Rattus norvegicus: one gene and its partner. The protein of the gene in region 1 purifies or fractionates together with the protein of each later gene. This does not show direct contact. Links are inferred from orthologs where the notes say so. Each region holds a gene or a part of one and is shown on either strand. Other genes may lie near its edges. The genes, in order: Ranbp6 and Armcx3.

Region 1 (4,304 bases):
ATTTTAAAACAAACACCCTAAATGGCCTTGAAACAGTCCACAGAATAAGAATCACTGTTCAGAGACTAGCGTCATATTACAAATTAATTTATGAGACCACTTATCTGGTCAGCCAACTTGTTAACATGAAAATTAGCCTTTGTCCATTTTGTGTGTATAAGCAGCAGAAATTCACAAAACCGAAATTCAGATTTCTTGGCAAAGTTTAAGACAGAACACAATAAATAAAGGTCTCTGATGATGTAGCAAAATCTAGAGCAGTTACAGTGGGAAGTTCTTGGTGACAAACGGTGGCCCCACCTTAAGACTAGGTAGAATTTATCTGTTATCTTAGGCAAGGCCTCCACCTCCCTGGCTGTTCATTTCTTGCCTTAGAGTAGTACTTTATCTGCCTCTGTCAGCCTACAGAATTACCTAAGGCTGAAATGAGAGTGACAATGGCTGACAGAAAGGAAGATCTGATCAGACTGTTACACCTTATAATTATGGTTTCAAGTAACACATCTGCCTAAATAAAAGATACATAGCCTCAGGGAATTTGTTCTTAGGATAACCTTTGCTTCTTCCTATTAACCGGTAATTAGGAATCTAGTACTGTCATATTCCAGGTCAGAAACATGTAAGGAAAATCTTGCGTAACAGAAATACAGTTTATACAGAAAACCTGGATTCAAGAAGCTTCATTATTGCTTCAGATCATCTCTCACCTTACTTGTCTTTCCACTCTCTGTTATAACCCACAGAGCAAGAGATTCTGGTGTATGCCTGAGTTTGAACATCACGGGTTCTACTTCTCTGGGTGTGGTAATGGGGAGGAAATCCCTAACCTTTAATTGAGCTTATTTTGCAAACAGCTTTATTATGGCTTGACTCATTATACCCAGTTAACAATTTAAATTGTATAATTCAGTAGTTCTTAGTATAACGGCATGACATTGGGGAAACCATCATCACTATCAACTGCAGAACATTTTTATCATCCCTCAAGAAGAAATCTCGGACAGCAGTTATACTCATTCCTCCTCCTCCCCCATTCCATAGCAAGTGCAAATTACTGTTTGTATAGATGTGCTTATTCGAGATCTTTTATTTAAAAAAATGGCATCATACAGTATGTAGACTTTCAGAGCGAATTTCTTTCCATCTCCTTCCTGCCTCTACAGGCGCACAAGCATCAGGATCGGAGAACAGAAGGGCGATACCCCTAATAGGCACTCAGCTCCCTCTACCCTGCAAAACTCGGACCCCAGCCTTCCAGCTTTAACCCGCCGCAGCGGAGGGAGCAGCGCCCCACCCATCCCCGTCGTCGCCTCACTGACGTCATTGCTCCCAGACGCAGACTCCCTCCCTCCTTCCCGGTCGCGGTAGCTTTGACAGGGCGCGATGGCGGCGGCCGGGTCTGCAGGGTTGCCGGCGACCATATCGGATAAGCAGGAGTTTTACCAGCTTCTGAAGAACCTGATCAATCCAAGCTGTATGGTGCGGAGGCAAGCCGAGGAGGTCTATGAGAATATCCCAGGTCTGTGTAAGACTACATTCCTCTTAGATGCCGTCCGAAATAGAAGAGCAGGTTATGAGGTGAGACAAATGGCTGCCGCACTGCTACGACGGCTTTTGTCCTCTGGGTTTGAGGAGGTCTATCCAAATCTACCTTCTGAAGTGCAGAGGGATGTCAAGATTGAACTGATATTGGCCGTTAAGTTAGAAACACATGCTAGCATGAGGAAAAAGCTTTGTGATATTTTTGCGGTGCTGGCCAGGAATTTGATAGATGAGAATGGCACTAACCATTGGCCAGAAGGTCTGAAATTCCTCATTGATTCGATCCACTCTAAAAATGTGGTTCTGTGGGAAGTTGCACTTCACGTTTTCTGGCACTTTCCTGGGATTTTTGGGAACCAAGATCGTCACGACTTGGATATCATCAAGAGGTTGTTGGACCAGTGTATTCAAGATCAAGAGCATCCAGCCATCAGGACATTATCTGCTAGAGCTGCGGCTGCGTTTGTCCTTGCTAATGAAAACAATATTGCTCTTTTCAAAGACTTTGCAGATTTGCTTCCTGGAATCTTACAGGCTGTGAATGATTCCTGCTACCAGGATGATGATTCCGTGCTAGAATCCCTTGTTGAGATTGCAGATACTGTACCTAAGTACTTGGGTCCCTATTTAGAAGATACTCTGCAGTTGAGCCTGAAGTTATGTGGAGACTCTAGGCTTAGCAATCTGCAACGCCAGCTGGCTTTGGAAGTAATAGTGACCTTATCGGAAACTGCGACTCCGATGTTGAAAAAGCATACGAATATTATCGCACAGGCTGTGCCTCATATATTAGCAATGATGGTTGATCTTCAAGATGACGATGACTGGGTAAATGCTGATGAAATGGAAGAAGATGATTTTGACAGCAACGCCGTTGCTGCTGAGAGCGCCCTAGACAGACTGGCTTGTGGACTTGGTGGAAAAGTAGTTTTGCCGATGACCAAGGAGCATATCATGCAAATGCTTCAGAGCCATGACTGGAAATGTCGACATGCCGGATTAATGGCCTTATCAGCCATCGGAGAAGGTTGCCATCAGCAAATGGAACCAATTCTAGATGAAACGGTTAACTCGGTTTTGCTTTTTCTTCAGGATCCTCATCCAAGGGTAAGGGCTGCTGCCTGTACTACACTTGGACAGATGGCTACAGATTTTGCACCTAGTTTCCAAAAGAAATTCCATGAAATAGTGATTACAGCTTTGTTGCGAACCATGGAAAACCAAGGTAATCAGCGTGTGCAATCTCAGGCCGCTTCTGCTCTTGTTATTTTTATTGAAGACTGCCCCAAATCATTGCTAATCCTATATTTGGAAAATATGGTAAAAAGTCTCCAATCCATCTTGGTAATTAAACTTCAAGAGCTGATTCGGAATGGAACCAAGTTGGCCTTAGAACAACTCGTGACAACCATTGCCTCGGTGGCAGATGTAATAGAAGAAAACTTTATTCCATATTATGATATATTTATGCCCTCACTCAAACACGTTGTTGAGCTCGCTGTTCAAAAGGAACTTAAGCTTCTTCGAGGAAAAACTATTGAGTGCATTAGCCATGTTGGACTGGCTGTGGGGAAGGAAAAATTTATGCAAGATGCATCGAATGTGATGCAGATACTGTTGAAGACACAATCAGACTTAAATAACATGGAAGAAGACGACCCTCAGACTTCTTACATGGTTTCAGCGTGGGCCAGAATGTGTAAGATCCTTGGAAAAGACTTTGAACAATATCTCCCGCTGGTTATTGAGCCTCTTATCAAGACTGCTTCAGCTAAGCCTGATGTCGCACTCTTAGACACACAGGATGTGGAGAACATGAGTGATGACGAGGGCTGGCAGTTTGTAAACCTCGGAGACCAGCAAAGCTTTGGCATTAAAACTTCAGGACTTGAAGCAAAAGCAACTGCTTGCCAGATGTTGGTTTACTATGCTAAGGAGTTAAGAGAAGGATTTGTGGAATACACAGAGCAAGTTGTGAAGATGATGGTTCCTCTGCTGAAGTTTTATTTTCATGACAATGTTCGCATGGCAGCAGCAGAAGCCATGCCCTTTCTCTTAGAATGTGCAAGAATTCGTGGCTCAGAGTATCTTTCACAGATGTGGCAGTTTATATGTGATCCCTTAATCAAGGCGATTGGAACCGAACCCGACACAGATGTGCTCTCAGAAATAATGAATTCTTTTGCCAAGTCCATTGAGGTAATGGGAGATGGTTGTCTCAACGATGAACACTTGGAAGAGCTGGGAGGAATTTTGAAGGCAAAACTTGAAGGGCACTTTAAAAACCAAGAGTTACGGCAAGTAAAAAGGCAAGAAGAAAATTATGACCAGCAGGTTGAAATGTCTCTTCAAGATGAGGATGAATGTGATGTTTACATTCTGACCAAAGTATCAGATATTTTGCACTCATTATTTAGTACTTACAAGGAAAAAATTTTGCCATGGTTTGAACAGCTACTCCCATTAATTGTAAATCTAATTTGTTCAAGTAGGCCATGGCCAGACAGACAGTGGGGACTATGCATATTTGATGACATCATAGAGCACTGCAGTCCAACCTCATTCAAATATGTCGAGTATTTTCGGTGGCCAATGCTACTCAATATGCGAGACAACAACCCTGAAGTCAGGCAAGCTGCTGCCTATGGACTGGGAGTTATGGCACAGTTTGGTGGAGATGATTATCGTTCTTTGTGTTCAGAAGCCGTCCCACTCTTGGTAAAAGTTATTAAGTGTGCAAATTCCAAAACCAAAAAAAATGT
Region 2 (4,529 bases), on another chromosome or scaffold:
AGGGATGAATTTGCTAAGGATGAAATGTTCTTAGCCAGAATCTCCTCTCTTCTAGCCAGTGCTTGGGTCAGAACTATCACCTCTTTCCTCTCATGCCCTATGTTGATTGTGAATAAGTATTTGTTGTACCTGTTCTGGAAATACAGAGACAGATAGTCGATTCGGTTCCATTTATTTTACTAAGTTCAAAATCATGTTTCAATTCTGCTTTTTAGAAGCTATACTGACATAAAATTTCCTGGAGATTAGCTAACTCCTCGACTCTCGGAACTATTGATGTGCTCCCATGTTTTTCCTGGGATTTTGAAAGTTCCACTCGGATACCAACCTTGATCGAAACTGAGAGGAAATTTCTCACCGAAGAGCTCACGTTTTGGAAAGCTGCTTTACACTTTGTATTACGTTATTTGTTCTTGTACTATGTGTTAAGTTAACCTTATGCCAGTGTCGGAAAGCAAAGGCGGCTAACTTAAACACGGAGAGAATGTAGTTACTTTATTCCTTTTTCTATTTTCGAAAGTTAGAATTGCAAGTGAATTCTTGTGCTCATCAAGGTAATGGGTGAGATGGTTTCCAACTAATTGCTAGATGCCAAGTTCAGTCAGGTTTGCCTTGGTCTTTGCACCCCTGTAATACTATTTCACTTGCAGATGCTGGTCTCTATCTGTACCCCAGTATTTTTCATACTGGTCTTGGCATATCACTCGTGTATCAGCATGTGTACCCCTGAATCTTTTCTGTTATTGGCTTTGGAAAGCCCAAGTCTTCTCCTGGTTAACTTGTGCCTTTCAGTGCTTGTGGCTTAGTCAGAAGGGTTACATACTCTTGGCTGGCTGATTAGTTCATTCAGGAGGTGCTATGTTCATTCAGCGGTGTTATGGGATAGGCCCCAGAAGACATTAACATTCCTATAAGGAAAGTGGATAACACTTTCCAACAAGTGAGAAACGTGGGACTTTTTAGAGATATTTCCCCGGATGGAAATATCGTTATTGTATTGTCTTCTTCAGAAATGCAAGCTGTGAGTAGGGTAAGCCAAGGCAAAAATAACAACAACGACAACAAAAGTATTACAAAAGAAAAACGATACACTCTCCTTCCAGGTTTACTTTTGTGCTGACTTACTCATTTCAGGTTTAGGACTATATTTCAGAGGGAATGGTAGAAATTCATAGCTGGGAGGAGGGGAGGTAGAGGGAGAAGCTGCTATCCCAAGAGTCTAGGGAAGAAGGAGTCAATTAAAAAAAAGTACAAGTGACCCATAGCCCCAGGGGAGGATGCTGTCCTGTTTTGGTAATTGGAGGAAGGGAAGCACGACTAGAGGAAGATGGAATTAACCGCAAAGAAGAAAGAGTAACAAGGCCTAGTATGGGGGAGGGAAAAGAGGGGGGCGGGTCCTCTTCTGCCGCACTGCTGGTGGGAGGGGAAAGTGGGGATCCGAGTTGGTGGATTACGTCGCTCTCACGTGACCAAGAGCTGACGTGTGCAGAAGTCCTTCTTGTCCAGGTCGTTGTTCCCGTCTGAGTACCAGCTCCCTATTACCCTGAGGGCGGGCGGGCCTGCGGCCGAGGAAAGAAGGAGGCGGAAAAGGAATTGTCCCGGATCCCTGCAGGTCAGTGCCTGGGATATTCCATAAAGTGGGGGTGGTGGAGGGTAGAGGGCGGAGGCCGTCGCAGGTCCGGAGCCGCCGCCGTCGTCTCTCTCACTTGCTGCCCTCTTTCCAAGATATACGTCCCGCCTGCAGCCCATTTCGATGCTGCAAAACAGTGAGTAGAGGGGTGTTAGGGCAGGCATCCAGAAATCCAGAGATGGGAATCTGCTGTGAGCTGAGGCCGGCAATCCGGAAAGGGAGCTGTGGCCTGGGTGTTGGCCCCTGGTCCGTCAGGACTGTGCCAGAGGGGGAAAACTGGACATGGGGTCCTGCATGGTGGGGTACAATGTGATGTGTCAGCCGAACCCTGACCTAGCTCTCGGGCGGGAAAGCTTTAACAACCAGGCCTCCGAATTAGGAAAGAGTTTCGTTCTCTGGGGACTGGTCCGTCCACTAAGCACTCAGTAGCGGCTGTTTCCCGTCTTTCTGCCTGTGGCTGTGTCTTCCTTACCATGGCTCTGTGGCTAGTGGGTCCAAGCCTCTCCCGGGTGGCCAGTCTTTCCGTAGGTTGCGGTACAACGCCAGGCAAGAGAAGAGGAAGGAAATTAACCAGATCGGTGAAGGTCGAGTTGAGGGTAAGACCATCTGGGGACCCTAGGAGCAGCGGGGGCTAGAAAAGGGGGGAATACCAGAAAAGGTAATCTAGGTTTAGACTTGAGTCTAAATGTGTTTCTCACACTCCCCGAACTGTGGAGAAATGGCGTTCTCTCTCTCTCTCTCTCTCTCTCTCTCTCTCTCTCTCTCTCTCTCTCTCCCTCTCCCTCTCCCTCTCCCTCTCCCTCTCCCTCTCCCTCTCCCTCTCCCTCTCCCTCTCCCTCTCCCTCTCCCTCCCTCCCTCCCTCCCTCCCTCCCTGCCTGCCTCCCTCCCTGCTCCCTGTCTCTCTCTGTCTCTGGGTGTATGAGTGTGCTCCTGGGGGTGGGGGCGGGGGGCAGGGTGACAGAAGGAAAACCTATCAGATAGTTTCTTCATAATCCTTCTCTCTCAACAGCACTTAGTGCCCTTGTTTTCCATCTGTCACCCTGCAGGTCTGCTGTAGCAGGTGGCACTGCTTGAAGCAAGGGAGGAACTTTCCCCGGCGCAGTGGAGGTCGGTGTGGGCGTGGGGGGCAGCCTGGAATGGGGGAGGGGTTAGAAATCAGCTTGGGTTTGGCCAGGCTCACTCAATCCTACTTTGTTTCCTTGCGTCCTTGCGTCCACCCATTTCAGACTAGGGAGGGGGCATAGCATGTTTGTGTTTTGGATGGCACAGTGAGGTTTAACCAAAATCTGACAACCTGGATGGTAAATTAGGAAAGCATCAAATATACACTGGATGCGTCAAAGCCTCGTTTTTTTTTTTTTTGTTTTTTGTTTTTTTTTTGTTTGTTTGTTTTTCTTCACTGCTGCTGGTATCTCTGCAGATCAGAAAGATTGCTGGGTGTGGCATAAGTCACAGGAAAGGAAGAAGGGGCAAGCCGCTGCTTTAAGGAGGTCAGTGCAAGAGTGCTTATCCTATGGGGTATCACGGGAGCATGTGACAGTGGGAGCCCAGAAATACTTGTGGACGCCATTGCCTTTATGCTTAGGGGCAAGAGTGAACTGGGGGTGGGGAGGGGGGAGAGGAATGTAGGGGGGGAGAGTAAAATGAGGGACTTAGAGGTTTTTGTCAACAACCTATATTCCCTATCCAGCATTCGATTACTACTTTATTGCCCCACTTAGCAATTGTCTGCATGGAGCAGCACAAAGAAAAAGCCAAACCTTCTTCTCTTCCATTTCTAGGTTTACCTCTGAAACCAATTACTGTGGCCTTGAAGTGACTTGAAGAACATTACTCTCCACAGGCCTGCACTCAGGCCCGAAGCCCTCTTCCCCTATCTTGAGTGACTACTCTATTTCTTGGTCCCTGCCGTTGCCAGGGACGATTGCATGGGCTACGCCAGGAAAGTAGGCTGGGTGACTGCAGGCCTGGTGATTGGGGCTGGAGCCTGCTATTGCATTTACAGATTGACCCGAGGAAGAAAGCAGAACAAGGAGAAAATGGCCGAGGGTGGCCCCGGTGATGTGGAGGATGCTGGGGACTGTTCTGGGGCCAGGTATAATGACTGGTCTGATGATGATGATGACAGTAATGAGAGCAAGAGTATAGTTTGGTACCCACCTTGGGCCCGGATTGGCACTGAAGCAGGGACCAGAGCTAGAGCCAGGGCAAGAGCCAGGGCTACCAGGGCTCGGAGAGCTGTTCAGAAAAGGGCTTCTCCTAATTCAGACGATACTGTTTTGTCTCCTCAAGAGTTACAAAAAGTACTTTGTTTGGTTGAGATGTCTGAAAAGCCTTACATTCTTGAGGCAGCTTTAATTGCTCTGGGTAATAATGCCGCTTACGCATTTAATAGAGATATTATTCGCGATTTGGGTGGTCTCCCAATTGTTGCAAAGATTCTCAATACTCGAGATCCCATTGTGAAGGAAAAGGCTTTAATTGTCCTAAATAACTTGAGTGTGAATGCTGAAAATCAGCGCAGGCTTAAGATATACATGAATCAAGTGTGCGATGACACAGTCACCTCCCGATTGAACTCGTCTGTGCAGCTGGCTGGACTCAGACTGCTTACAAATATGACTGTTACTAACGAGTATCAGCACATCCTTGCTAATTCCATTTCAGACTTTTTTCGTTTATTTTCAGCAGGGAATGAAGAAACCAAACTTCAGGTTCTGAAACTCCTTTTGAATCTGGCTGAAAATCCAGCCATGACTAGAGAACTGCTCGGGGCTCATGTGCCGTCTTCACTGGGCTCCCTCTTTAATAAGAAGGAGTACAAAGAGGTTATTCTTAAACTCCTGAGCATTTTTGAGAATATCAATGACAATTTCAAATGGGAAGAAAACGAGCCTG

What was found.
Region 2: the proteins of Ranbp6 (region 1) and Armcx3 purify together in Homo sapiens (co-immunoprecipitation; 3 studies listed by BioGRID and IntAct, counting the BioPlex papers as one, with this or other methods). This does not show direct contact. The link is inferred for Rattus norvegicus from reciprocal best matches to the Homo sapiens genes RANBP6 and ARMCX3.

Annotation. Positions count from the first base shown.
Region 1 is NC_086019.1:236,987,531-236,991,834, reverse strand, and holds the start of Ranbp6 (ran-binding protein 6), read left to right. Parts: upstream 1-1,383; coding exon 1,384-4,304. UniProt on the Homo sapiens protein: May function in nuclear protein import as nuclear transport receptor.
Region 2 is NC_086039.1:102,228,936-102,233,464, forward strand, and holds the start of Armcx3 (armadillo repeat-containing X-linked protein 3), read left to right. Parts: upstream 1-1,528; 5' UTR 1,529-1,612; intron 1,613-2,147; 5' UTR 2,148-2,226; intron 2,227-2,677; 5' UTR 2,678-2,738; intron 2,739-3,051; 5' UTR 3,052-3,121; intron 3,122-3,412; 5' UTR 3,413-3,559; coding exon 3,560-4,529. UniProt on the Homo sapiens protein: Regulates mitochondrial aggregation and transport in axons in living neurons. May link mitochondria to the TRAK2-kinesin motor complex via its interaction with Miro and TRAK2.